Linked DNA regions of Nothobranchius furzeri. The protein of the gene in region 6 binds, or shares a complex with, the protein of the main gene of each other region. Links are inferred from orthologs where the notes say so. Each region holds a gene or a part of one and is shown on either strand. Other genes may lie near its edges.

The links.
Region 1: rbmx2 (region 6) and srrm1 share a complex: the UniProt entries of both Homo sapiens proteins name them as parts of the minor spliceosome. The link is inferred for Nothobranchius furzeri from reciprocal best matches to the Homo sapiens genes RBMX2 and SRRM1.
Region 2: rbmx2 (region 6) and cwc15 share a complex: the UniProt entries of both Homo sapiens proteins name them as parts of the minor spliceosome. The link is inferred for Nothobranchius furzeri from reciprocal best matches to the Homo sapiens genes RBMX2 and CWC15.
Region 3: rbmx2 (region 6) and snrpd3l share a complex: the UniProt entries of both Homo sapiens proteins name them as parts of the minor spliceosome. The link is inferred for Nothobranchius furzeri from reciprocal best matches to the Homo sapiens genes RBMX2 and SNRPD3.
Region 4: rbmx2 (region 6) and scnm1 share a complex: the UniProt entries of both Homo sapiens proteins name them as parts of the minor spliceosome. The link is inferred for Nothobranchius furzeri from reciprocal best matches to the Homo sapiens genes RBMX2 and SCNM1.
Region 5: rbmx2 (region 6) and rnf113a share a complex: the UniProt entries of both Homo sapiens proteins name them as parts of the minor spliceosome. The link is inferred for Nothobranchius furzeri from reciprocal best matches to the Homo sapiens genes RBMX2 and RNF113A.
Region 7: rbmx2 (region 6) and armc7 share a complex: the UniProt entries of both Homo sapiens proteins name them as parts of the minor spliceosome. The link is inferred for Nothobranchius furzeri from reciprocal best matches to the Homo sapiens genes RBMX2 and ARMC7.

What each region holds. Positions count from the first base shown.
Region 1 is NC_091758.1:35,723,794-35,727,293, reverse strand, and holds part of srrm1 (serine/arginine repetitive matrix protein 1), read left to right. Parts: intron 1-816; coding exon 817-987; intron 988-1,345; coding exon 1,346-1,440; intron 1,441-1,608; coding exon 1,609-1,833; intron 1,834-1,912; coding exon 1,913-2,098; intron 2,099-2,181; coding exon 2,182-2,301; intron 2,302-2,400; coding exon 2,401-2,609; intron 2,610-3,500. UniProt on the Homo sapiens protein: Part of pre- and post-splicing multiprotein mRNP complexes. As a component of the minor spliceosome, involved in the splicing of U12-type introns in pre-mRNAs. Involved in numerous pre-mRNA processing events.
Region 2 is NC_091750.1:48,553,601-48,557,191, forward strand, and holds cwc15 (protein CWC15 homolog), read left to right. Parts: upstream 1-1,156; 5' UTR 1,157-1,307; intron 1,308-1,392; exon of another isoform or gene 1,393-1,535; intron 1,536-1,637; 5' UTR 1,638-1,653; coding exon 1,654-1,784; intron 1,785-1,867; coding exon 1,868-1,980; intron 1,981-2,084; coding exon 2,085-2,185; intron 2,186-2,256; coding exon 2,257-2,367; intron 2,368-2,464; coding exon 2,465-2,613; intron 2,614-2,724; coding exon 2,725-2,854; 3' UTR 2,855-3,091; downstream 3,092-3,591. UniProt on the Homo sapiens protein: Involved in pre-mRNA splicing as component of the spliceosome. Component of the PRP19-CDC5L complex that forms an integral part of the spliceosome and is required for activating pre-mRNA splicing.
Region 3 is NC_091746.1:48,714,686-48,718,978, reverse strand, and holds snrpd3l (small nuclear ribonucleoprotein D3 polypeptide, like), read right to left. Parts: upstream 2,801-4,293; 5' UTR 2,669-2,800; intron 1,879-2,668; 5' UTR 1,864-1,878; coding exon 1,738-1,863; intron 951-1,737; coding exon 758-950; intron 375-757; coding exon 310-374; 3' UTR 179-309; downstream 1-178. UniProt on the Homo sapiens protein: Plays a role in pre-mRNA splicing as a core component of the spliceosomal U1, U2, U4 and U5 small nuclear ribonucleoproteins (snRNPs), the building blocks of the spliceosome.
Region 4 is NC_091745.1:65,775,869-65,780,066, forward strand, and holds the start of scnm1 (sodium channel modifier 1), read left to right. Parts: upstream 1-1,398; 5' UTR 1,399-1,506; coding exon 1,507-1,557; intron 1,558-1,688; coding exon 1,689-1,759; intron 1,760-1,841; coding exon 1,842-1,930; intron 1,931-4,198. Other genes in the region: lysmd1 (lysM and putative peptidoglycan-binding domain-containing protein 1), read right to left, coding at 660-839. UniProt on the Homo sapiens protein: As a component of the minor spliceosome, involved in the splicing of U12-type introns in pre-mRNAs. Plays a role in the regulation of primary cilia length and Hedgehog signaling.
Region 5 is NC_091745.1:10,008,494-10,012,371, forward strand, and holds rnf113a (E3 ubiquitin-protein ligase RNF113A), read left to right. Parts: upstream 1-1,175; 5' UTR 1,176-1,229; coding exon 1,230-1,335; intron 1,336-1,635; coding exon 1,636-1,715; intron 1,716-1,787; coding exon 1,788-1,886; intron 1,887-2,141; coding exon 2,142-2,249; intron 2,250-2,339; coding exon 2,340-2,449; intron 2,450-2,531; coding exon 2,532-2,638; intron 2,639-2,728; coding exon 2,729-2,818; intron 2,819-2,890; coding exon 2,891-2,984; intron 2,985-3,053; coding exon 3,054-3,160; intron 3,161-3,246; coding exon 3,247-3,314; 3' UTR 3,315-3,378; downstream 3,379-3,878. UniProt on the Homo sapiens protein: Required for pre-mRNA splicing as component of the spliceosome. As a component of the minor spliceosome, involved in the splicing of U12-type introns in pre-mRNAs. E3 ubiquitin-protein ligase that catalyzes the transfer of ubiquitin onto target proteins.
Region 6 is NC_091750.1:26,772,697-26,776,624, forward strand, and holds rbmx2 (RNA-binding motif protein, X-linked 2), read right to left. Parts: upstream 2,801-3,928; 5' UTR 2,695-2,800; coding exon 2,690-2,694; intron 1,484-2,689; coding exon 1,368-1,483; intron 1,187-1,367; coding exon 1,135-1,186; intron 1,052-1,134; coding exon 922-1,051; intron 794-921; coding exon 607-793; intron 533-606; coding exon 162-532; 3' UTR 83-161; downstream 1-82. Other genes in the region: ap4m1 (AP-4 complex subunit mu-1), read left to right, coding at 3,538-3,599, 3,673-3,758. UniProt on the Homo sapiens protein: Involved in pre-mRNA splicing as component of the activated spliceosome. As a component of the minor spliceosome, involved in the splicing of U12-type introns in pre-mRNAs.
Region 7 is NC_091756.1:50,514,990-50,519,237, forward strand, and holds the start of armc7 (armadillo repeat-containing protein 7), read left to right. Parts: upstream 1-1,448; 5' UTR 1,449-1,481; coding exon 1,482-1,541; intron 1,542-1,615; coding exon 1,616-1,703; intron 1,704-3,700; coding exon 3,701-3,844; intron 3,845-3,923; coding exon 3,924-4,248. UniProt on the Homo sapiens protein: As a component of the minor spliceosome, involved in the splicing of U12-type introns in pre-mRNAs.

The DNA.
Region 1 (3,500 bases), on a different chromosome or scaffold from region 6:
CTGCTAATAGAAATGTAATTGTGTATAAATGATACTAGTATGATGTTTACATAATTTCTATTCTATTTTTGTTTTTTCCTAGTTCTTAAAGCTAACTGGGGTGAAGTGGATTTTGTGATAGAATAGAGATTACAGTTTGGCTAGTTTTAACACTTGTTTTAATAAAAAATAAAGTTTGTGTGTAACTGTACTCATTATTGCTTGTTCGTCTCTTGCAATTTAGATAAATGATATAACATTAAGCTCATGGTGGTTGAGTCTCAAGCAGTAGGGAGGCGGAAGCAAGCCAATGGAGCTCCGTGCCCACTGATCCCACGGGACTCACTGAAGACACCGGAACTGTACTTGCAGTGTTGGGTTTTGATGCACTCTGTATTGTGGTTATTTGTTTAACCCCTGAAGTGTAGACTGTGGGGAGACTGGGGCAAATGGGGCGGGGTAAAAAGTAGAGCAGTAGTACAAATATGATCACAAAATGCTGATTATTTTAAAATTATTTAGGGATTTACAACAGAATTATTGCATGCAGTTTTTTGTTTACATTGCTAGAAATGTCTCCCCTCAGCTAACTTGCATTCTCAGTTTCAAGAGTTCAGTACAGACTGAGTAAATAATTAATTAAAAGTTTCTGAGTCCAGTATTGTAGACGGCATTGTGTATGATTTAGATCTGGTTAGCTAGATTATCCCAGGTTTAGTCTAGACAGGGATAGATGGTGGGAAGCCCCATGTGTGGGACCCTGCCTCCTTTTTATGTTTTCTATTATTTCAACGGCTTTGTCTCTTTTTCTTTCCCCCTTTATTGTGTATGTTGCAGCATCCTGATAGTAAGATGATGCAGATCAACCTGACAGGGTTTCTGAATGGCAAGAACGCCCGTGAGTTCATGGGAGACCTGTGGCCCCTGCTGCTGAGTGCCCAGGAGAACATTGCTGGCATCCCGTCTGCTTTCCTGGAACAGAAGAAGGAGGAAATCCGACAGAGACAGGTGATGCGTCTTTAGAACCTCAGAACTTTATATGAAAGTGCACTTCCTCAGACTTTACGGGATAAACAGACACTATAAATGGAGTAAAAAGAATGCATGTAAAATTTTATTTTATCCAAAATAAAATCTTCATAAAAAACAAATTCATCTTATTCAATAAAATGTATTTATTGCCACCCCTATACAACGTTGACAATGTAATTAATCAGGTAAATAATACGTTTTAATCCTGATGGAGAACGTTTTGGAAAACACAAAATTTTACACTTGAGGTACATTTTATTTTGAAAACGGCAGCTTAGTCCGAGTTGTCCATGTTTGTTAGTATATTATTCAGCTATAGTTTAATATTTGACAGATTGAACAAGAGAAACTGGCTTCCCTGAGAAAGGTGGATGAGGACAAGAAGGATAAAGACACCAGAGAGAGGGCTCAGTCCAAGAGCCCAAGAAGGTGGGAGGTTTTTGTTTTAAATGTGAATCAAACTTCTTCTGTTGTTAAATTTACTATAGTGACATAGATTATCCCAAAGGTATAACATGTTTGGAACTAATTATTGTTTGATCACGATCACTGGGAAACATCCGTTCATATTAACGTCTGTTCTGTTCCTTTGGTCAGGAGGAAAACCAGGTCACCATCACCACGACGAAGGTCGCCTGCCAAACGGGAAAGAAAACGCAGCCCGTCACGCTCCCCAAGACGCAAACCCAGTCCGCTCAGTGCAAACTCACCCGCCCCACCTCTGATGCAGTCTTCCACTAGAGCCTCACAGCAGCTTGTTGAAGCTGATACTTCAGAGAAAGAGCCGACTGAGCCGGTTATCCAAGAAGCTTCTTCTACTGGGTTTGTGTCTCTGTGTGTCCTACCTGTAGGATTTGGATTGTAACATGTAATGACAAAAATAAATGCTTTTCTTTTCTAGTGATGCAGTGGTGGAGTTGGTAAAAGCTGACTCAGTTTCTGAGGTCAAAGAAACATCCCCAGAAAAGTCTCACAAGAAAGAGGAGAGGCCGAGATCTCGTGAAAAGGACGTGAGGAAGGAGAGACCTCACCATCGTTCACCCTCCCCGTCTCATTCCCGCTCTCACAGACGACGCTCTCGCTCAAGGTCTTTATTAAAATATCATTTTACTCTGTACAAAAAAAGGTATTTGTTTTTTAAGTTGATCGTTTTCCTCTCTTCTGTATCAGGTCGTACTCCCCTCGTAGAAGACAAAGTCCCAGAAGGAGAATGTCTCCTCGACGATGGAGTCCTCCTAGACGCGGCCCGGCTGGCTCTAGACATCGACCTAGGCGTTCCCCAGTCCGCAGGTCAGTGAGGTGCAGGGCAGCTTTTACAGATTGTACCTGAATCTCATGACGACAGATGCTTTAATAATGTCTTTCTAATTTTTCGCATTTCCTTGTTAGGAGACGCTCTCGTTCTGCCTCGTTTTCTGGCAGCAGCTCCTCTGGTTCACGTTCACCCAAAAAGCCTGTGAAGAGAATATCCCCCACGCCCCCCCGTAAACAAGTCCGCCGTTTTGACACGTCTATCAGTCCCGCACCAAAGGACAAGCGATCGCTGTCTCCACGAGCAAGAAGAGGCCGGAGGTCTCCTTCCCCTCTCATGTCATTGGGTATGACTCGACACGTTAGCTTTAGCCTCCTAGCTGTTTCATTTTTAATGTTGATTGATAAAATATCTAAATGAAACTTAGATTTATAAGTTATAAGAAAAGACAAACCCTTCCCTGTAATTCTACTTGTTAAATGTAACCATTGTTAAAGAGCAAGTCTCCCCCAAATCAACTTTTTTTGCTGATAAACTACATAAATTAGTCGAATCGTGCTGTAGACACGTGTAGTCAGTAATTTGGCACTTTAATGCTTCTTAGTTAAAATTTAAATATTCTGACAAACTGTCAAGTAAAATCTCTGCACTACAGTTCAATTTAAATCTGCCATCACTGTTAGCTAAGAGGTACACAATGACGTTAGCAGGTACATAATGATGTCACAATGCTTTTGTGAGCGCGTGTGTGTGTATTTGTTAGCGGCTCCGGCCTTTCGATTTGCTATGCAACAGCATTTGTGGCATTTTTCAAACATGGAGTGGAGTAAGTTTCTTGTAGGGGGTGACTTGATCTTTACAAGAAACTTACTCCACTCCCACTTCCTGTTTGAAAAATGCAACAAATGCTGTTGCCTAGCAGACCGAGAGGGCGGAGCCGCTAACAAATACACACGCTCACAAAAGCATTGTGACATCCTATGGTACCAGCTAACGTTCTAGGGTACCTCTTAGCCAATAGCGATGGCAGATTTAAATTCAACTGCAGTGCAGAGTTTTTACCTGACAACGGCACAACACTGACAGTTTTAGGCAGAAAATTAAATTTTTTACTAAAATGCACTTAAGTGCAAAACTATTGACTACACGTGTCTGCAGCACGATTAGACACACATTTATATAGTTTATCAGAAAAAAAGTTGATTTGGAGGTGACGTGATCTTTAAATTAACTTGGT
Region 2 (3,591 bases), about 22 Mb from region 6:
AAACTGGGCCAATATTAACTGATAATTTTTCCATCTTGTTTTCATTTGTTTATCTGTTTCAGAGGGTGAGGGAGGTGATGTGTAATTGTTTAGTCATGTGACAGTGATTGCAATCATCTAACAGTGTAAACATGTGTGGTGTGTGTACATAACGTCAATTCAGCTTTAATCTTTACAAATCTGTTGATCTTAGAAGCATTAATGTCAGTATATCGGTATTGGCAAACATCGGTTATCGGCCATAACAGCGATATATCAGATATTGGTATCAGCCCCAAAGTTTCATATCGGTGCATTGCACTGAAGATTTCTGTTTATTCAACTTTTCAGGAATATTTATGAGCTTCAGGTAAAAAAAATGTCATAGCAGGAGGTCAGAAAATAATGAAATGCAAACCTGAACCATGATCGCATACAAGACTAAACTGTGACCTTCTTTCATCGAAGGATTGCGTAATTATACCAGTCACTATGGTGTCATGTTGTGAGGTAAGTGTCTAACCCACGACTTACAGAATCAGTTCACAGACTACGGTCGGTTTTAAACAATAAATTAATGGAGAAAACAAGGGAGCAGCATAAATGTAGCTGAGATCTTCAACAGGAGTCGGGTGCAGGAATCTGCAGACAGATGGAGGTTAGATCCAGCTTGAAAAGGGCAACAGGGACTTTAGAAAACTGGGGAAGCACTAAGATTGGTCTGTAATTATCATACTGTAGTAAACAAGATTTGTGGTTTTCTTAATTTGAACACTACATTTTATTGACCTTGTAAACATCCATCCATCCATCCATTGTCTGAACCCGCTTTGTCCACGTAGGGTTGCGGTGGGCTGGTGCCTATCTCCAGCGGTCAATGGGCAATCAGGCGGGATATACCCTGGACAGAAAGCCAGTCCATCGCAGGGCAACACAGAGACACACAGGACAAACAATCATGCACGCACACACACACACACACACACACACACACGCACACACACACACACACACACACACACACACACACACACCTAAGGACTGTGGGAGGAAGCCGGAGTACCCGGAGAGAACCCACGCATGCACAGGGAGAACATGCAAACTCCATGCAGAAAGATCTCAGGCTGGGAAGTGAACCCAAGGCAACAGCTCTAACCACTGCGCAGCCGACCTCGTAAACAATACAAGTAAAATAGGTTCTTGGAGTCCTGTCATGCCGGTCAAAATATGCACGATTTTTCTCCGATTGTTCCTGAACGCGTCTAGTTCCGGAAGTGACGCACCGTTGTGTACAGGAACGTTTCCTTTTCACTTTTGGAAGCAGCTTCGTAAGTGTTGTTGCTTTAAAAACGTATTTAAATTGTGTTGTTTATTTTAAGCTTTGTGTTTCAAACATGTTTACTCTCGTAATTATCTTGCATTGGGTTTTAAAAATAGGAAATGTTCCTTAAATTGCATTGTCACCCACGTTAGCCTGTTAGCAACTGATTAGCGGTGGAAGCTATCAAGCTAACTTGTGTTTTAAACAACATTTAGGAGGAAACTGATCGTTAAAGGTTTTAACTCATATTAACATTAGACTTATTATGATGTATATCTAAAATTACTTATTGTAATTTATGAATTGGTCAGTTATTTTCTGCTTTACGTTTTGCCAGAGCACGGCCATCAAAGATGACTACAGCTGCAAGACCAACATTTGAGCCGGCGAGAGGGGGTAGAGGAAAAGGAGAAGGGGATTTGAGTGCTCTTTCTAAGCAGTATTCCAGTCGGGATCTTCCAGGTCACACCAAGATCAAATACAGGTCAGAACAGTGGGTTCCAGTTTCTCAACCTTAAATATTTATTCGAACTACTTAAACTGTGTTTCTTTCATCTCAATTAAAAGGCAGCCTACCCAGGATGCCCCTGAGGAAGTGCGTGCCCGTGATTTTCGCCGAGAGCTGGAGGAGAGGGAGCGTGTAGCTGCTCGTGAGAAGACCAGAGAGAGGGGACCAAGAGGTGGATTTTTCTACTCATAATAAAGATTAGATCCAAAAAGGATGTATGCAACGGTTTCTGGCATAGTTCCTTTAATCTGTATTGTGTTGATTTTATTTCTTCAGAGCACACCACATCATCTTCTTCATCATCATCATCTTCAAAAAGGCCCAGACTGGATCAGATCCCAGCAGCCAACCTTGATGCCGATGACCCTCTCACTGATGTAAGGATTTACATTGCAATACATCCCAGACTTACACTGGATAAAGTTATTAATCCATTTTTACATTACAGGATGACGAAGACGAGAACTCAGATGAAGAAAGTGATGATGACGACACTGCAGCCCTGCTGGCTGAACTTGAAAAAATTAAGAAAGAGCGAGCTGAAGAGCAAGAACGCAAAGTAAAGAGTTTTAAGTTTGTGTTTGCTTTGGCTATAAATGAAAAGTGATGTTATAGAGGATGGCTTAACCTCCGTGTGCTTTTCTTTTGTTATTTAGGAAAGAGAGCAGAAGGCAGAGGAAGAGAGGATTCGAATGGAAAATATTTTGAGTGGAAATCCATTGATAAATTTAGCAGGACAGCAACAGCAGCAGCAGCAACAACAGCAACAGAGCCAAACTCAGAACACATTCAGAGTCAAGAGAAGGTATTTCTTATGTTCACTTGTTACAGCAAGAATGTTGGTTTTTTGTTTGTTTGCATTTGGAAAAACAAATATATTCCTTCACCACCACTAATAATTCTGATGTACTTCTAGGTGGGATGATGACGTAGTGTTCAAAAACTGCGCCAAAGGAGTGGATGAGGCGCGGAAAGAGAAACGTTTTGTCAACGACACGCTGCGCTCTGAGTTCCACAAGAAATTTATGGAGAAATATGTAAAGTAGAGGACTTTGTGTGTGTGTTTCATTTGATCTTTTTTAATTGAAAATGTTTTAGTTTCAAGCATTTTAATTGCAGCTGGCATTTATTTACAGTCTAACTAATTGGAAACCGTACTGTCTGCAGGTCAGTTGCTGTTTGCGTAAATCATGAAAGTTTGAAGCACATTTCAGAATGTGATTTCAGTATTTCTGTCATGCATTTTTCATTATTTGAATAAACATTGACTTTTTTCCCTTGAATTACTTTGCATAATTTCACAGAAATAACAGATTGTGCATTTTTTAATTTTAAAGGGTAAATTAACTTAAAAAGTTAAGTTTTATAAAAAATGCTAGGGGTGGGGTGCCTAAAATCAGCACAGAAATGGGTATGAAGAGTGTTGCTTTTCATTTAACCCTCCACTCCCTAGTGCTTTTTTTGTGCAAAAGGTAATGGGTTTTGCAAAAGTTCAAGGATGTGGCGAGGGTTAAAAGATACTTTGTAACTTGTTCATATTTTTAGATAATTTTCTTGAGCCAGTATGTGCTAAAATAACCCTTCACAGTGTTAATGAAATGCCACCCAGCCCCTATCGCCCCCTGTGGCCAAAATATCCCACTTGCAGCTTCACAGTTGCTGGTCTGATCTGTTGAACTTAGAAGAACTTGAGCTGACATACCTGGCGCTGCAGTCTAGTTCCAGCAAGTTTCCTGCATGGTTTAGATCATGAACACAGCTGATTTGTTTCATTTAGTGATGA
Region 3 (4,293 bases), on a different chromosome or scaffold from region 6:
ACTAGGATAAATATGCAGTAAAATGCTTTTCCGTGGGTAAATGTACAAATTTTACTTGCTAAAAGGTTACAATACACAATATAAATGAAAGAGGTGGGACTCAAAATTGAATAATACTACAAAAAAAGGGCTTCAATGGGGCAAAGCACAGCAAAGGTTCAGTCAAGAAGAGCAACACTGAGCTGAAATCTGTTTATTTCATACAAAATAAAAACAGTGATAAATTGTAGAGCAAAAGACTGCAAAGTAAACCAAAGCATAGTAAATCCAAAAGATGACATCAAACAATGAAATTTAAAACAAAATAAGTTATCGTCTCTTCTGGAAAATGTTGCCTCTCCCCATTCCACCACGACCTCGTCCTCTTGCAGCCACTGTTAAAAGTAAAAATAAAAAGTCAAACTCCAAAAAAAGGTATCTCTTTGGTCTGGAAGAAATGCCCCCCCACAAATCCCTATTTTCCCTACTCAAATATTTTGACTATGTTGGACTTCTACAAGAGAAGAAATTAGACAATACCATTAAACATTCCTTTGAAAAAGCCTTTTTTTCCCTTTATATTAGATAAAAAAGAATTGGGATCTGTCTTTCAAACCATTCCACCTCAGAAAATGTGAGAAGTGTCCACATAGAACACTGTTGTTACCTGTAAAAAAAAGTAATTAACAACTATTTAAGAGCCAAGCAGCTAAAGAGGGAACTAAACTCTAGCGCTGTCTCAGCATCTGGAGAAATTGTCCAAATGCTTCTCACTCACCTTGTGCTTTAAGAATAGCTGCCTTTCCTCTTCCTGCCCCAGAGCCTTGGTTCTTGTTCTTCATACTCTTTAACATCGGAGCATTCTTTAACATGTCCGGTAGGATCAAAAAGCGGATCTTGCTGCCGCGAATGTAGACCTGTTCCAACTGTGCAACCCGGCCATCGCGGTAGGTCACGGTGATGTTGGACATCTGTAGGGACAAATTCAAGTTTAGGTCCACAACAGGTGAAATGACCGTGTGAGCATCCATTAATCCAGTTCTGTTACTTATCTGGATCTTGGTGCACACAGGTTACCAAACTAGCATGGCTCAAATGTAAATTAACATTTCAGTTTATTCAACCCTTATAAAAATGTGTGCTGAAATAGAATCCAATTGAAGAGTGATGTTACTTTAGACTGTTTATTAAATTATGATGCAACAACAGAGTTAAATAACTGACTGAACTGGGTAAATCATGAAAGCTAAAGACCAACTTAAAATGAAAACCCAACATAAAAGCCTTTCTGATAAGAATGCTTTAATGAAACACTTTTACAAAAAAATAAAACTCTTCACACCAAGCATCCATGTACACCATTGTTTGGCCAAACGTTTTGCAATTTAGGGGAACACTAATCCCAAACACAAATTAGTTTACCAGTAATTACACAAACAAAAGCTTTTATGACTACATACCCCACAAAAAATCCACATTAACAGAACACCTTAAATGCCAAATTTACTGACCCAAGTTATTGTGAGTGCACAAAATAAAAATTAAATATTTTTTTTAATTTAACCCATTAAAAAGCTGCAAGAAAGGCAATTTGCAAGAGAAATAAAAACAAAATTTATTCAGGCAGCAGATGGGATTGAAACAAGCACTGACTGGATGTTTATGATCAACAGTATTTTGAAGGCTTTTCATTGACACTTTTCTTGACAATTAAAAATCACTGGAACCCTTTTAAACCATACTGCTAAACAAACCAACCTGGCAGTTCATATTGTCCTCTGCTTCTATCAGCTTGCCCCTGTACACCTCTCCAGTGTTGGTCTCACAGGTCACAATGTGACCCTCTGCCTCATGCAGGACCTTGATTGGTACACCGATGGACATGTTTCAAAGCTTTTCCTGGAACACAACACACAAAGCAAAAGATTATACGTGCTCACCCACAGAAATGTCTGCTCTTAAATATTGGCAACCCAAATCCATTTAACTTTATTGGTTAGCCGGGTTGCCCAGTTTCCAGCACTGAAATCTACAATCTGCATTACAACTAGTAGGAGAAGCAACAGAATAAGGCGAGTGAACTTTTTCATGACTGTGGATTAATACTAGTCACTGAAATTAAGACAAATAAGGAAAGACGCCCTGGGAAAACAGGTTTTGTGCAAAAAGCCATAACAAAAGAAGTGTTGTGAACCCGAACGCTACATTAATTGAAACTTTCATGTGGGACATAGTATTTAGACTTAACTAAAATGAAGGTGTTTTTATTATTTAGCATGAATTTACGCAGTAATACACTTTATAACATTACTAGAGAATAAACGATTTCGCTTGGGTATTCTCTTTTTTTAAGAGTCTGGTGGAGAATGTTTGATAGCATTCTAACCGCTAGCTCAGTTAGCCATACTAGCTAGCAAGGCTACAGGACAAATTTATCTAGAAACTACCATTAAACAATTCCAAACAGTAAATATGATTGGCCGTAAATGCTATTTACAGTTTACTACGATTAATAAGCATAGTTAAATACCTAAATATTTTACAGTAACATACGGAGTTTTGAAAATGCGCGTAACCTTAGCCATGCTACACATGAACGAAATAAATCGAAATTTCTAAATAACGAAAACCAATAGAAGAATGAGAACTCCGTTTCCTCAAACTAATTAATGTTACTCCTGTAACTTACCTTGACTTGTTCGTAAGAGTTATTTGCTTTATTGTTATTTCTTCTTGAACTGCAACGTGCGTTTGACGCTTTCGGGATCCTTTTGAGCCTTTTTTTCCGCCTGCAACGAAGGGTCACAACGAGTGTTTCCGGTGGCACCTACCGCGATGCATTGTGGGACACGTAGTTCAATAACGCCCATGGTTGAGGACTATTGAGTATGTACAGTCTATGGGACTATTATTTAGTGAAACTGACAAACTCAGCTTCTTATGTAGAATTATTTTTTTTATAAAGACTGAAACACATAAAATTAAATAAAATAAAAACTAAAATTATAAGAAACTATTTACATTTTAATCACGTTTCCTTAATTTATAATCTGTTTTTTACTTGTATTTGTTTTTAATTTTTTATGCTTGAGAAGCACCTCGCGATTTTTATCTTGGGGGCGCTATATAAAAGATTGTTTCATTCTTTCTTCTATAAATGTTGAGTTATGATGGAAATGAAAATTGATTTTCATTCTCCACAAGTAGAACATTGCATTTCTAAGAGGACTGAATATGTGTTTACGTACATCTGACTAAAGTTTAATGAATAAACTTGATTTCCATGATTTTGAAGGAAATCAGCTGTTGACTACATTTTCTGCATCGTCTAATGACGATGGGCAATTTATGCAGCTACACCAGACACTGAACTGTATTGTTTTAAAAAGCAAATGTTGATCCAGTAGCAGGATTGATTTGCATTTTCTTTCAGAAAAATAGAACAGTTTTGCATTACTTGTCATCTTGGCTCCAAGTTGACATTTACAGCTTTACATGGCTTTTCATAAAGCAGCTCAGTGTTAGGTACTTTTTAAATTCCCATGGAACATTGATCCATCATTGAATCACCCACAACAGTATTTTTATGATCTGTATCTCATGCAAATCAAAACAGCATTAGACATAAAAACAAAACATTAAAATGAACTAATTTTATCTATTTTTACAACACTGAGTATGGCCACAGTGTACTGCACAAATGATATGCAAAGAACTAGAATAAACATAAAGTACACATAATATACATACCCGTGTATGTTTGTTCCAGGAGATGTGTCTCGGGGATTGCTACGGGACACATAAAAGTGGCCTAATGCAGGTCTGTCCCACATTGAAAGAGCTTTTTAATGGGGAAAGAGAAGGCATAATGGGATAATAAAAGACATCATCAAATGAATCTTCATTTGATTTCCATTGCATTTGGCTCATTGACTGGCGTCAGCAGCCATGGCTGATCTGTAAACACCTTTCAGTGAGTAGTTTGTGGTTGGGCACTTTACGTGTGTGTGTGTGTGTGTGTGTGTGTGTGTGTGTGTGTGTGTGTGTGTGTGTGTGTGTGTGTGTGTGTGTGTGTGTGTGTGTGTGTGTGTGTGTGTGTGTGTGTGTGTGTGTGAGTGAGTGAGTGAGTGTGAGGAATCTTTTTATGATTTTGATGTGTGCAGGCCAGACCCTGAAAGTAGTGGTAGCATCACAGGTAGTAACAAAGTGGAAATAAGTCCTTTGGTTCAGCTGAAACGTAGCTGGTTTGTGTTCATTGGTGACTTCAGATCATAGGTTGACCTGGCAATGACAAATTGTTGCCTGGCTGCAATC
Region 4 (4,198 bases), on a different chromosome or scaffold from region 6:
ACAATTATGCGCGCGCGCACACACACACACACACACACACACACACACACACACACAAACACACACACACACCTAAGGAATTCAGACAGACCAATTAACCTAACACTCAAGTTTTTGGACTGTGGGAGGAAGCCGGAGTACCCGGAGAGAACCCACGCATGCACAGGGAGAACATGCAAACTCCATGCAGAAAGATCCCAGGCCGAGAAGCAAACCCAGGACCTTTATATATATATGCATGGTGGCGCAGTGGTTAGCACTGTTGCCTCGCAGCATGAAGGTCGCAGGTTCAAAACTCGCCTTTCTGCGTGGAGTTGCGTGTTCTCCCCATGCATGCGTGGGTTTCCTCCGGGTACTCCGGTTTCCCCCACACATCACAACATGCCCTACAGGTTATTAAAAAAAAACTTGTACGTCGCTTTGGATAAAAGTGTCTGCGAAATGAATAAACATAAACATACACACACACACATATATATATATACACACACACACATATATATATATATATATATATATATATATATATATATATATATATATATATATATATATATATATATATATATAGAAAGAGAGAGATAGAGAGAGAGAGAGAGACTCAAAAATGTAAGCCTAACTAAAATAGGTTGTTTAAAATGTAAATAGTTTGTACTTACAGACACTCCGTATTTAAGGGCCAGGCCCTGCAAAGTCTCTCCCGGTTGGACGACATGTTCCACGACTCTGCGGCGAACCGGAGACTGTGAAGGTCGGATCAAACTGCCGTAAGATCTGGTTCGGCTTCCGCGAAGGAGGCCCCCTCTCCCGGGAGGCGATGGCTCTCGCTCCCCGGACATTTTGGTGTATCATTTGTGTTTAAACCCGTCCAAGGTGCGGCAGAATACAGAGAGCTGTAAACTTTAGCTTTTACCAGAGAAACATGTATGTAAGAACTAGCACACGACCCAACTATTCAAGCTTCTTTCCTTTTTAAACCTGCTATTTTAAGCTTAGCAATACAGCACCTGCAGCACACACAGGGCCTCTGATGTAAAAACCCCGTTAAACTATATGATAAACCTATTTTACACACCTGAAAAGTTATCGTGAACTTGTTAGCATTTTCTCGTATCTCGTGAAGTCAGCAGCAGCAGTAGCAGCTACGCTGGTTGCCATGGCTGCCTGGGCTGGTCACATGATTCTTAACAAACGGTGCGTTTAATACAATACGAATAACAGAAATCACTTTAAAGTTGTTCGAATTCGTTTTAGGAGTACCTAACGTTTAAACTGTTTCTGCACTTGAGCAGTCTTTTTTAATGATAATTATGAGCGACAAATAATGGATATGATTCAGAAATGTTTGTGCACACTTTAGTTCAAAGCTGAACTCCGTTCTAAATTTGGAGGTTAGAATTTCCCATGCGTCGATTCTTCTGTGAACGCATCAGCAGGGCTAGCCTAGCATTGACAAAAAGCAGCTAATCTGGTTCCAACTTCAGTTTAAGAGTATATGTCATAGCAATGTCTTTTAAAAGAGAGGGGAATGACAAGAGTCAACTCAACATTCTTAAGGTTAAATATTGTTTTATACGTTGTCTGTTTCATTAAATATTATACGTTTGTGTAGTTAGCATCATGTTAGCATCCTGTTAGCTTCCTGTCCTGGGAGCACTCACTATTTCAACTTTGTTGACATTTTTCAGAAAAGGCGTGTGGCCGATCTGCTGTCTCATTTTATTCCTGAAGACGAAGCTGCGCTGCTGAAAAATGGAAGGTGAATTTCGGCTTGACTCACGTTCGGAAAAGAAACAGACATGTTGTTACATTAATAACTGAAAACGTGTGTGGTTTTTTAGATATACTTGTCTGGTGTGCTCCTACCGTCCCGTGTTTGATACGGTTGATGTGCTGACCGTCCACAGGCAAGGGAAGAAGCATCTAGAAGGTAAAAGTGAGCTTAAATGTGTCATTCCCTGTGGGTAAGGGATGAGGTTTGGAAGAACTTTTCTAAGTCAGGTGTTATGATTTTCTTACATTGTCTGACATCAAAGAAACACTTGAAAGTATCTGATGATATTGTGGGAAGACAATAGAACATACAGTCTGATCAATTTGTTTATTACAAATCATTAAAACAACAGCACGTGGTTTTTACTCAAAATCCAAGAACTTCACCCTGAGTTAAAGTATGGAAGAGGATTAAGGCCACTGAAAATAAAACATATGAAAAGAAAGACATCAGATTTTTCCCCTCAGAAATCTGGCTTTAATCTCAGAATTATTAAAGTCACAATCAAGAAAAAAGTCAGAATTCTGAGAAAAATGCCAGAAATCAGAGATTAACTCATTAACTGCCATTGACGACTAAAGTCGTCATTTGCATTTTTTTTACTATGTGGGCGTCGGAACGAGCCCCCGCACCGTGAGAACAAACATTCCAGCTATAAGCTGATCTTCATTCGTGTACGTCACACGCCACGTGATCAGGAAGCAGAAAATCCATGTGTTAGGAGATCGTTTTGGGCCACAGCTGTAAAAAAATAAGTGAGGCGCAAACCGGAAAAGCTTCTGCCGATCACAGTTCGACTACAGATTATGTAAGAATGGATAACACTCGAAACATGTAGATTCTGAAGAAGAAGAAGAAAATATCATTTCTATGGCGCCTCTCAAGATAAAAATCACGAGGCGCTTCACAAAAACAAAAAAATGTAAAAAATATAAAAAAGCATTTAGAAAATGTTTAAAAATTTATTTCAAATGAGCAAAAATAGACAATTGGGATTTAAAAGAAAACAATTTTAAGAAAGAGAGAGTGAATAGGAAAGAGGGAAATCAGTGGATCCTGAGGAAGGTGGAATAGGTGGGGAGAGCAGAATAAAGAGAGAGGGGTTGAAGAAGGCCATACAAAAGCCAGCTTGAACAAGTGAGTTTTCAGCTGCTTTTTAAAGGAGTCCACTGATCTCAGGCTCAAGGAGAGAGAGAGTTCCAGAATCTGGGGGCCACAGCAGCAAATGATCTGTCACCTTTGGTCTTTAGACTGGTGCGTTGCACAACCAGTAGGCTTTGATCACTGGACCTCAGGGACCTGCTGGGGGTGTAGGGACTAAGAAGATCACCAATGTAAGATGGTGCTTGTCCATGTAAGGCCCTATAGACCAGAACCAGAATCTTGAAATGAACCCTGATTCTGCCTGATGTAAGAGGTGAGTCTACTCTTCGTTTTGTTAGTTTTGGCGTTGACATCATCCTAGAGCACAACGTTCATTGACTCTTAAAGAAACAGTAGAAACACTGAAAAACGCTGGCTGCGAAGGGCTTTTCTGATCAGAGAATGGCAGGAGTGTGTCCAGGGAGTGCCCTGGGGTAGCAAATGCCACCCTTGAAATCCCAGGTGCCACCCCACCGAGTTCCATATAAATTGACTTTACATTCTCCACAAAAGGCTTAGGGTTACAATACAATAACCATAGGGGCCACTCGTGCATAAACAAGTGCCCCACCTGGGCCACCCCATTTTAAAGAGCTTGGACACGCCACTGGAGAACGGCTGGCAGTTAGTGAGTTAAAGTCAGAATTCTTTTTTTAAATTTTTTTTCTTCAGTGGCCCTAATTATCTTCAGTATTAGAAAAGACAAAACAAAAACAATCCATAATTACTTGTATACCAAAAAGTGTTTAAAAACCTGAGCAACAAAGAATTAACAGCTGTAAATTAATCATATGCAACTTGTGATGCATTTTAAATATCAAAATGCATACTAAAAAGGGGTTAATAGCTTGTTTTGATTATCGATATTAACATCGCTACACCACTGTACTATAGTTACAGTGGGAGTCATGGCATGGGTGGGGACTTATTTCATTCACACTTCCTGTTAGGAAAACACTTCTGAAAGAGGTGTCACCTGGTGGACCAAGAGAGCGACTCAGAGGCAGTGATAGACAGCACTCCCCTCAACCCCCTCTGCGTGCGCTGTCGGAGTTTCTCTGTCGAAAAATTAGTCATTAACAAGTGCACACGCATGCTCACAGTAGACTTACCTTTCTGCAGTATTCTGGAGAATTTCCTGTTAACTGCGATCATTAGATGAAAAGGGGAGGAGGGCTTTTTTTTAAGGAGGCGAGCGATTCAAAGGCTCTTTAAAGGGACTTTATGGAGTTTTGAATTTTTATGCTCGCGATTGCCCCCTCAGGCCAAAAGCGTAACGGC
Region 5 (3,878 bases), on a different chromosome or scaffold from region 6:
TAAAGCTGAGTGTTAAGCAGGGGGGGGGATTGGGTTCCTTGTTAAAGTCTTTGGTATGACTAGACCGGTATTCAAACCCGATCTCCCAATCCCAGGGCAGACACCTGATAGTGGCCTAAATTGTTTTATATCTGAAATGTTTGAGAAGAAATTACAAACTTGTTAGTTAAATTTCACAATCAAAAAGAATTACTTGATGTTCCTCTGAGTCTACAGCAGAGGGACAATAGGCCACCAGAGGGCGTATGATCTGATGTGTTTGTAATGCTGCTAATAGTTTTTGTTTTAGCGCGTTAATTTAATCTTGTTTAACACAGATAATTATGATACATTTATTAAGCTTCATCGGTTGTGTAGTTTATATAACTGCAGACCTTCTGACCTCTTGTTATTTCTTTTATTTTGAAAGGATTTATAGGAAGTGCTAATTGGTTATGTGTTGTTCAACTTTATGTGAACACTGTAGTAACCGCCTCTGACCGCCAGAGGTTGGAAAAAACCCTACTCTCGAAAGCCAGAAACTAATTGAGTTCTTGTTATCAAGTTGACATAAACAATACATTTAATCACTTATAGACAGATTGTGTTGGCATCAGTTACGTCAAAAGATTATTTAGACAAAAAGCAGTTAAACATAAAATTTTCTTACAAATTTATGTCATTCGTTTTTATTTATTTTTCTTTCTTTTTTTGTTTTTTGTTGTTATGGTTGTTGTTGTTGTTGTTGTTCTTGTGAAGCGCCTGCTCATGATTATTATCTTGAGCGGTCTTGTAAAAGATCGTTTCTTCTTTTTATCAACGACATTTCTAATGGCTATTTTTGTGTATTTTGTTTATTAATCGTTTATACATTTAGTGTCCAATCAAAATGCGTTAATTATTTTTCTGTTTAAAACTAAAATTACCTTTTAAAAATTATTTCAAGTACTACGGAAGAGGATTAAGGCCACTGAAAACAAAGAATAATGATTTAAATCTGAAAATTCTGAGATTAAAGTCAGAATTATCTTTCTGTTCATTTTTTTATTGTATTTTTCTTTTGTTTTCATTGGCCCTCGTCCGTTCTAACATAATATTTTAGGTTTACCATTCTAGCCAGAGCCGCGTTGACTTTGATTTATGGACGGTTGTGAATCTCATTTTGGCAGAAGGAGCGCGTCACGTTTCGCCTCCAGAACAACAGGGGGCGCTACTGCTCTGGCAGCCACTGTTCTTACACCAACAAAAACATGGCGGACCCAGACAAACCAAAAGCAGCTACTTGTACGTTTTTGTTTAAAAAATCCACCAAGAAATTCTCCGGAAGAAAACGAAAAGCAAGTGACAGCGATAAAGGTAGTAAACTATCATTTAGATACATTTCCTTGTAATTTTCTCCTAACTAGCGTTGTCTGTCCTCTGGATAGAATTGATAGCGGCTTCTCATCAGGGAGATCAAAACCGCGACCCAAACAGTTTGTTTATATTATCCTCCATAATAAACAGGACCAAAAACATTATGGTTTATCACCTGAAAGCTACATTTAAACAAAGAGGGGAAGTAACCTAGTTTAATTGTAATAGATTTTGTAATGTTTGTTTACACCAATTGTGTGTGTGTGTGTGTGCGCGTGTGTGTTTGTTTGTTTGTTTTAGATGGCGATAGTGACACTGAACAGACTGCTGTGGTCAGAAAAGAAAAGAAGGATGCTCGAGTCAACCCCATGATTCAAAAGGTAGAGCAGGCAAGCTAATAGATACTTAGTTATGAAGCAGCAACGTGAATGATCTATGTATTCTTTGTTCAGACAAAAAAAGTGGAGAGGGACGCTGTGTCTTCTAGTGAAAGCGAGGAGGAAAAGGGAGACAAAAAGATAACGGTTGCTTACAAGTCTTCCCGATCAGCGGTGAGTTCAGACTGCATTCATTCAAAAATGTCAGAGCCAGACAGTACAAGTCAAACACTGATCTTTTTTCCATCATGGCTCAACCTGGCTGTTGAGACAAAACATACAGGGGCTGAAACTTCACCAGAAAAGCAAATTTTAACATTATTTTACAATCTACAGACCATTCTCATCCACGTACACATGACTATGTGCCCTGAACAGTTGTTTTTATTTACTTTAAAACTTTCTACTGTACCTTGCCTTCATAAAAAGAAACCCGAGGGGCCTGAAGACATGGGTGCAACTGCCACTTATCAGCTGGACACAGAGAGAGACAAGGATGCTCAAGCTATTTTTGAGAGGAGTCAGAAAATCCAAGAGGTAGGACATGCCGCTATTGGTTAATATAAAATGAGAAATAATCAAAATCTCACCTTCGTCATTTGAGCTTTCCCTCCTCTGTCTCATTAGGAGCTAACAGGTAAAGAAGATGATAAAATATACCGTGGCATCAATAACTACCAAAAATTCATCAAGCCTAAAGACACCACCATGGGCAATGCCTCTTCAGGCATGGTCAGGTGAGGCAAGAGATATTCACATGCAGTCAGAAGATGTTGTTCACCTATAGATGCTGAAGGTTACGTTCAATCTGTGCTACAGAAAAGGACCGATTCGAGCTCCTGAACACCTGAGAGCTACAGTCCGGTGGGACTACCAACCGGATATTTGCAAAGACTACAAGGAGACGGGTTTCTGTGGATTTGGGGGTTGGTGAAAACAATCTGAACTCTTAAAACGTTCCTACTGTGAAGTCAAAGGTTTTGTTTATTAATCATGATTGCATCCGTTGCCATTAGACAGCTGCAAGTTCCTCCATGACAGGTCGGACTACAAACACGGCTGGCAGATTGAGAGGGAACTGGAGGAAGGGAGATATGGAGCAAATGGTGAGTAAATAATCGAACTTGAAATCTTCTCTTTTGCTGGCTAGACTAAGTTTCTGATGTGTTTTCATCTAGATGACGAGAACTATGAGGTGAGCAGTGATGATGAAGACTTGCCCTTCAAGTGCTTCATCTGCAGAGAATCTTTTAAAAATCCCATCATCACAAAGTAAGTACTGCGATGGTTTCTCTCCTTCAGTCCTTGTTTATTACCGGCTGGTAATCGCTGTTTCCTTAGGTGTAAGCACTATTTTTGTGAGAGCTGTGCTCTTCAGCATTATCGCAAGTCAAAGCGCTGCTACGTGTGCAACACTCAGACCAATGGTGTCTTCAACCCCGCTAAAGGTAAATGCATTTGCTCAAAAACATCCAAGAGGAGCAGAAACCAAAGTAAACAGTCACACTTGATGTTTTATTGTCATTTATTCTAGAGCTGATTGCCAAGATGGAGAAACGCAACGCTTTAGCCGACCAGCCACCGTCAGACGAAGAAGATTAGAACACGCTTTAGAACCCTCTCTGTGTTTGTCTGTGTACATTTCTAATAAAGTTCATGGCCTCGGTTCCTTTTGTACAATCATGTTGAAACACTGAAGCAGGCCTGGGTTTGTAGTAAAAGTTTTACATTTGTAACACGTTGCTTTGTCCAAACTTTCAAATATACATGCAGACAAAACCAGCACCAAGAAAACATTTACATCTGACGTCAGTAACACCCAGAGAGCCGAAGAAAAGGCTAACTTTTACGCTCTTAATGCTAAACTAATAATTACAACCTGTGCAACAAAAGAGTCTGAACCGTGAGACGATGCATCTGCTGTAGCAGACCGGAGCTAAGAAATGCTGTCAGTCCTCAGAGAGGACTGCTAGGTGCCCTTATGGTCGTCTCCTGGAGCAGACGGACCAAATCGTGTTAACACAAACGGTGGAGCGTCTCCTGGTAATATTACGTAGCAGCATTTCATTGATCCGTCTCCTGACCTTTATGGTTTGGGCTACATCTACCTTTAGAAAACTCAAGAGTTGTCCTTTTGGTTCGTGGGTGTGTGTAGAGTACAATCCG
Region 6 (3,928 bases):
AAATGCTTCACGAGTTCGCCAACGTGTTGCTTTGTAAAAGTCTCACCCGTCCTCAGGTGTTGGACATCAGACATGAAGTGTATCAGGTGTTCAGGTCAGATTTTAATACGAAACATTAAAACACACACACACACACCATGGATCGGCCAATCACAACCTGTCTATTTTCTATACGGCTCCCGTTTCCTGTTGTCTCCGTCTTTTCTTCTGTCTTCGTCCCACTCCCTCTCTCTTCGTCTTTTGTCTCTGTCCATCTCTTGTCTCCTATAGTCGTCTCTTCTGTCCTTGTCTCTGTCCACCTCTCTCTCACAGTTCCTCCACTTGTCTTCATTCCTGTCTGTCCCCTTTCCTCTCTCCGTGTCCCTCGTCCTCTGCCCTGCAGGCACCTCCTTGTGGTTGTACTTGTCGTAGGCGGCGTCTTGCTTCTCCTCTTTCAGTCTGAAGACTGCAGGAGGAGGAGAAGGTGATGAAGAGGGAGCTCTGCTCTTCTTCCTCTTCTCTTTCTTTTTTTTCTTCTTCTTCTCTTTCTTATCTGAGACAGAAAAGGGAAATAAGTCCACCTGGTCCTAGATCAGGTGACTTTCAGGTAACAGGAAGTGACCTCACCTTTTTTGGGCTTCTTCGCAGGTACGACGCACTGCTCTTCTTCCTCAGAGGAAGAGGGGACAACAGTAGGACCTTTGGGAGCACAGCCCTCTTCTCTGAGATGTTTGGTCACATCGTCCATGTCCTCGTTGTCTTTGGGAGGACGATAATTTTTAACGTGATCCACGCGGATAGTTCGACCTTTAATCTGAACGTTTAAACAACAACAAAAAGATTTTAGCTAATTGTCTCATCAGAGACCATGTTGATGCCGCTGTGGGCCAGCAAGGAGCGGCGCTGGGTCCACACCAGGACCTGGTGAGGACAGGAAGTCACCTTTATGCCATTGAAGTTGTCCACTGCCAGGATGGTGCTCCTCTGGTCCTCATAGCAGATGAAGCAGAACCCTTTAGACTTCCCCGTCTTCTTGTCTCTCACCAGGTTGATGTTGACGATCTCTCCGTACCTGGCAGGTTTGTCGAGAGGAGACAAACGTCACTGTCATGTCAGCTATAACGTAAAGCAGGTGAGACGTAAGCATGTACGTACTGGGAGAAGACACAGATCAGGTCTCCTTCAGTCAGCTCGAAGGGGAACCCTCCTGCAGGAAACGAGACCTCGTAAGCATCATCAGAACCAAACAAACCCACTTCAACAGTTTCATTCATGAGATCCCTTTTTATGTTGTTAATGAACAGAAGCAAATCGTCTCCAAAAGCCCAAAACACCAAACTCATCCCAACGTCTCCACGTGTGAAGGGCTGGGTTTGAGGAGTTCTCACCGATGAAGATCCAGGCACTGTCCCGGTACTCTGTGTGCCAGGAGACGGTCTCGCTGATGCCGAGGTCAGCCTCGCGCTCATTCAGCTCGTTAATCAGCTTCACCTTCGTTAGAGGACTGAAAACACACAAGTTGCTCAGTAAATCGTCCCGTTAGGGACTGGACCTGATTCTGACTCAATTGGAGTTTTATTGTGAAAAGCTGTCAGGACAATTTAGAAAGAAAAACTGCTTTTTGTTTGGACTACAGAGAAAAAGAGTCGAGCTTTTCTATTCAACCCCAACCTTGAGCCTGACCCTAATGACCCTTCAGCAGCAGCAGGCATAATCCTGTTCCTCCAGCAGGACCACGGTGTTCCTGGTCGAGCTGCTCCGTTTCACTTGTTGGCTTGATTTAAATTTGACATTTTAATTCTGAGGGCTGTTGCCTTGCAGCAAGGAGGTCCTGGGTTTACATCCCAGCCCGTCTTTCTGCATAGAGCTTGCATGTTCTCCCTGTGCATGCGTGGGTTCTCTCCGGGTACTCCGGCTTCCTCCCACAGTCCAAAAACACGACTGTCAGGTTGATTGGTCTGCCTAAATCATCCTTAGGTGGCTGTGCATGGTTGTTTGTCCTGTGTGCCTCTGGGCTGCCCTACGATGGACGATGGACTGGCAACCCATCCAGGATGTACCCCGCCTGCATGCCCAGAGACTGCTGGAGATAGGCACCAGCCCCCCAGAACCCTGTGAGGATATGCGGGTTCAGACAATGGCTGGATATACATGTAAATGTGTCCCCTTTGACTTCCGGGGTAAATACGATCGGAGTGGTGTGTTTTATTAGTCGAATGATCTTTTTTTTTGCAGCAGACGTAGAAACATTCATGAGAAAAAGATAACACCACATATGACCAAGCTTGTGGTCCTGTCTTCATCAGCAGTTGACATAAATTATTAGTCAACTTTATCAGACACACTGGTCTAGAATAAAACACGTAGTAGAAGGTCAGGGGTGTAAACAAAACAATAGCCAACCTACACATGATCAAATGTCTTCTTGAAGCATCAAAGATACATGCTACATCCCAAACACAACTGGGTGTTTATGTTTTATTACATGCTCTCTCTGGTTTTTAAGGAAAAAATGTTAAATTATCTGTTTTTTGAGCAGAATCCGATCGGCTACGAGTAGGAGCTAGCTAACAGCTAGCATGCTGCACCAGGATCAGTCATCAAACCGCAGAATAACGAACTCGCTCTTTTTACTTTAACTACACGACAAGAAGTAGAACAGTGTTGTGTCGGTGGTTCGTGTCATTTATGAATACATAAATGTACTTACTTCATAGTTAGTTACAGAAATTAGGGCACAGATCAGACGTTTTATTTGTTGAGGTAGACCACTTCCGTTTGGTTCGTCTCTGCTGCCCTCTGCAGTTTGGAGATCTAAACTACAAGCGATCATTAAACATGTGCAGATTATTTCTCTCGGGTTTATATAACACACCCAAACCATCTAGGTTGATGTATCTGAAGCAATTTCTTACGTAGCTATGAGTTCACTCATCGTGAAGTTAATAAATATAAAGTTATTAATGCAATCCTCATTCAACCTCCTGTCCACAAGGGAGCGCTGTGGGGCTACATGCTAACGGAGCCGTGTCGTAAACCGTAGCTATAACCTGAATATAAACCCAAAACCTTTCTGTCAGGTTAGCTTTGTAACCCTGCAGACAATGAGCTTATCTGGTTGTATTCAGCGTTTCTGAAAACTGCGGCCCTGTGAGTTATTAAAGTTTATCTATAGCTTACTGCTAGCCAAAGCAGCACCAGCCGTGCTTTCATTTCCTTTGAAGTTCTGTTAAAAATAGCCGCAGTAAGATCTGGTTCTTCCAGGTAGACCCCACACCTTCCGCAGGCGAGTACAGCAGCTGTAACCCCTCACAGATCCACCTTTCCGTTAGCGGAACTTCTGTAGTTTTATCTGCAGGTTCTCACCAGTACACAACAGTGCTGTTAACACTTATAATACAATAAATTAGATAGGATTTGGCTTTATTCCAACTCTGATAAACATGTTGTAACGTGACGGAAGTGGTCACTTTTATTAAATGATCAATAAGGTGTGATATTCCATATAAATATTAGTTATCATTATCATTAATCTTGTGCTTGTGATCTTCCTTTCAGGAGGATGATCTCTCAGGTCTTCATCCTGTCCTCCAAGGGGGACCATCTCATCTACAAGGACTGTATCCTTTTGCTTCCAGTCCCGTGAGACTTTACCCTATCAGGAGTTAGAGCTTAACCCAAGCCAACAATCAGACCGAGGCCAAAGAGGAAACGATGTGGTCAACATCTTCTATGAGAAGGTCACAGCGCTGACTGGAGACCAACCTCTGGTCGTCACGGTAACGCCTCCACAGTCTGGGACACATTTAGACCCAAACTGTTGTGTTGTTTTGAGTTCTGATTTGACCCAAACACGAAGAGTAGGTCAAACCAGAACCACTAGATTAGAAGTCACATCAGGATGAAGCAACGATGTTTCGGCGTCTGTTTACTGTCTGAGGAACTGGAC
Region 7 (4,248 bases), on a different chromosome or scaffold from region 6:
ACAACTTCATTCCTCAATTGTATTGTGAGTCACATCTTTTTGTTATTTTAAGTGCAATATGAATTATTGTTTGTTTTGTTTATGTCTTTATTGCATGCACCAATAAAAGATGTGATTGAAGTCTTTATTGAATTTTATTTGTTTGTAATGGGAGTTTAAACTTTAGCATATTAATTTGAGCTGAACTGAGATTAAAACTTCAAAATCTTCTCTAACCTCTCCATTATGAAGTTAAAATTTATATCTCAGACTTGATACACCTTAATGACAAAATACAAGTCCTGATACTTTGGTTTTAATTCAACCCTGATAAAAAAAAAAATCGTTTATCCAGTAATATTTTTCTCCCACTGTTTCTGTTTGGCTTAGGGGTTTAGTCTGTTTTTCCCAGATAGTAAGTACATTTTATTTATATAACACCCATCACAGACAGTAATCACAAAGATAAAAAAAACAAGACAAATTAAAGATGATTCGAGTTAAAAATAAGGCTATTTATGTAGATGGTGGTTAATTCTGCTCCCGCTTGACCAACACGAGTGTCAAAATTTAAAAGCGTGGTTCCTGCTCAGCTGAACTTCCATCCAGTCTTATAATTTACTGATTTACTGGATGACTGTAATGTCTGATGGCCTGTAAAGCATCAGTCGTCTGCAAAAAGTTCATATGTTCAGTCACTTCCTGTCTGTTGCTGCTTCTTCTTCTCCACCAGCTCTTTCTGTTTCTCCCTCCTCTCCAGGACTTCCATCATCCTGGCATAGTTGCGTTCTCGCTCCTGGGCCTTGAGCTCAACCACGTCTTCAAGGAACCTGTGTCTGCATAAACGACAAGCAAATATGTTTACGATTTGCTGCTAACTCATAGTATTTAATATTTTTGCTTCAGTCTCCAATGACAGTTTCACCGTCACACCGGTGTTACAGTGAAATGTGTTGTGCGTGTGTTTCTTTTACGCAGTTAGCAAAGCTCAGTTTCACCTGTTAATGAAAATAGTGGCGAGTCCAACCAGCAGAGTTCCGAACAAAATGGGTTTGGCGAGGCGCTTTCTCGCGGACAGCCGGTGGTGATTCATTGTTGCTGTTTTACTTAAATAAACAAAGCGACATAGCGTTTTTGTTAAGCTGACCTCCCGCAACGTGCGTTATGTGCTGTTGTACGAGCACATAAACACAAACACACCTTCTGCTCCTTAACTTCCGCTCAGCTGCCGGTGTTGTATCAATCTCTGTACACCATTTAAAATGTGTTTCCTCATCGGCTCGCGTAGCTCTCGCGTATTTCATTGCACAATTGTGACAGCAATGCTAGCATTTATAACGTTATAGGCGAGTTTATAGCAACGATGTTACGATTTCGTGTAGCTAAAAATGCGTTACTCTTTAAATCATGCGAAAGTGAACGGGGAACACATCTTCACGGACAAACAAGTTTTGATAAAACAGCGGAACAAATATCTACTTGCGCAGTTTTTCCGAACACTTATGAGCCGCGGACCCATACGTGAAATGAAAACAACCTCTGAATCAGCTATGAACGGTCAAGTAACTTAAACATCAGCATAATCTGATATCTGTGTGAATTTTATTTGAAGTGTTAAATGTGTTTTTGCTAAAAGATGAAGAGAAATGAGTCAGCTGAAGCGCCTGAACGGTTTGAATATTTACAGACGCTGGTTACTGAATTTCAGGACACTGACAGTGAAGGTAGGAATAACCTTTGATCTGTGTTCTACAAAGTTAAAATAAAAACCGTTTTAAAACGAACACGTAGACTCTCAACACCCTCAGTTTAGATGCATGCTATTATTTATTAGTGATGGGAATGGCTCAGCTCACCAGAAAGAGCCGGCTCTTTCGGCTCCCAAATGGCTCCTCAGATTTTCTGTTTCGTAGAGTACATTTATAACCAAAATAATGCAAAACTATATGTAAAATTATTTACTAATGTAAAAAAAAATGCAATATATCAAATATTTATAATTTCTATGGATTTAATAACTGAACACTTTAAGAAATTGTCACTTTCCGACTGCTGGCGCTCATTTTCTCACCGTCTTCATCACACTCTCCTCTCTATCTCGCTCACCTTTTTCCTCCTCATTCCCTCTCGTCTACCTCCACCTGCATGTGCTCTGCTGTGTGTCTGAGTCTGATTCTCCCTCTTCCCCGTCCCTACTGCTCTGTGTGTGGACAGTCTGGTCACACAGTTACACATGTTGACCAATCGCCTGTAGCGTTCACCAAAGCAAGAGGGGAGGGGGGAGGGGAGGGGACGGCTCCCAATGATGAGCCGGCTCCCGTTGTTCACTTCAAAGAGCCGACTCTTAGAGCCGGTTCGTTCGGACTGACACATCACTATTATTTATATCGTTAGAGGGCTTTTTCAGAAGCCGTTGTTCAGTCGAAAACTGTACTCTCCATCAGTATATTTATTTGAAGTGAGAGAAAAAAAATCGTCAAAAGAACATTTGTATATATGTTAGACCAGTTTTTATCCATTGCAATAGGAGAAAGGCTGACTATCAGCATTAGAATTGTGTTCAGAAGACAAAAAGATCACAAATACATGCAAATGACTTCATGAAGTTAAAATTTTTCGAAAAAGAATCTGTAAACATGACTAAATCAGGTAGAAGTGAACAAATACATCAAATAAGCTGTAATTCTAAGCAGCGTTTTAAGTTTTATTCTGAAAGTGTATCGTTGTGACATGAAATAAATGTAAGCTTAGTATTTGGAAACCAAAAAGTGACGTTATTTAACCAAATTCTGATTGTTCATTCTACATGTTAGTTCACTTTGAGATTACTGCCATAAGTAAACATTTTCTGTTGGATTTTACCGCAGAAAGCTGCTTGTTTTTATTTTTAAAAAAACGGTGTTAAAAATAAGTAGCCAGATAATGTGATGAATTAAATAATGCGCTAGTTCCACATCCATCCATCCAGTTGTAAATATCTACACTGGCTGCCATTAAACTATAGAAACGATTACTAAGTGCTACTGCTAGTTTATAAATGAGGCCAAAATACATGTTGGATCTCCTTCCTGTATATATACACCCAGCAGGGCTCTGAGATCCTTAGGAAACAGTCAGCTGGTAGAACCTCGGGTCAGAACCAAACAGGGTGAAGCTGCTTTTAGCTACTATGCTGCTCACAGATGGAATCAGCTTCTTTATGACCTGAAATGTGCCCCAACTCTAGTAACTTTTAAGTCAAAATGGAAGACTTTCATGCATTCATCAGCCTTTGAAGGATTATTTCTCATGCTGTACCTTCTGCGCTCAGTCTTTAACTTTGTCTTTTATTTTATTTCTTACATTTAATTTTATTAGAGTATTTAAAATTTGAATTTAAAAGCTGCTGTTTTACGTCGTCACGTTGATTTTAATCTTTTATGATCATGCTGGTCATGCACCTGGAAAGTACATTGAATAGCTTCAGTGTATGAAATGTGCTACACAAATAAAGCTGCCTCGCCTTTCTAGTTTACAGACAAATCTTATTTTTATACTGTCAGCTCCACATTTGAGCCTGAAGGGTGTTTTGATGTGAAAGTAAAAAGCGCCCCCTGTGGTATAAATGTGTACTGTTTCTGTGCTGCAGCCTCTGTTTATCATTGTTTGTAATGAGCTGGTGTAAGGTGAATTAGTGGATGTAGGTATCTCTGTTTGTTTCATTACTTTTTCTCTTTATCAGAGGCAAAGGAGCAGGTTCTGGCAAATCTAGCCAACTTTGCATATGACCCAAAGAACATGGAGTACCTGAGGGAGCTGCAGGTTCCTGACCTGTTCCTGGACATGTTGACCGAAGAGAATGAGAACTTTGTGGAGTTTGGGATGGGTGAGCATCTCTCCAACTAAAACAGTAAATCATGTTTGTTTATGTAAAAATCATCTAAACTCAAATATTGTGTTGACAGGGGGTCTGTGTAACCTCAGTATGGACCCTGGATGCAGAGACATCATCTTGGAGAACGATGGGATCAGCTTGATCACAAACCACCTGTCAAACCGGAGGGAGGAGACGGTGCTGTCTGCCGTCACCACCCTGATGAACCTCACCACACCAGCGACCTGCTCTCAGATCACAGAGCCAGGGATCGTTCAGTGCATGCTGCGCTTCTCACTCGCAGAGAGCCCCCGTCTGCGCAACCTGGCCTCGGTCTTCCTGCAGGACTGCTGCAGCCAGGAGCAGGTGAGACAGGCTGAGCTGCAGATGCAGGGGGTGCAGACGGCCATCGGGAT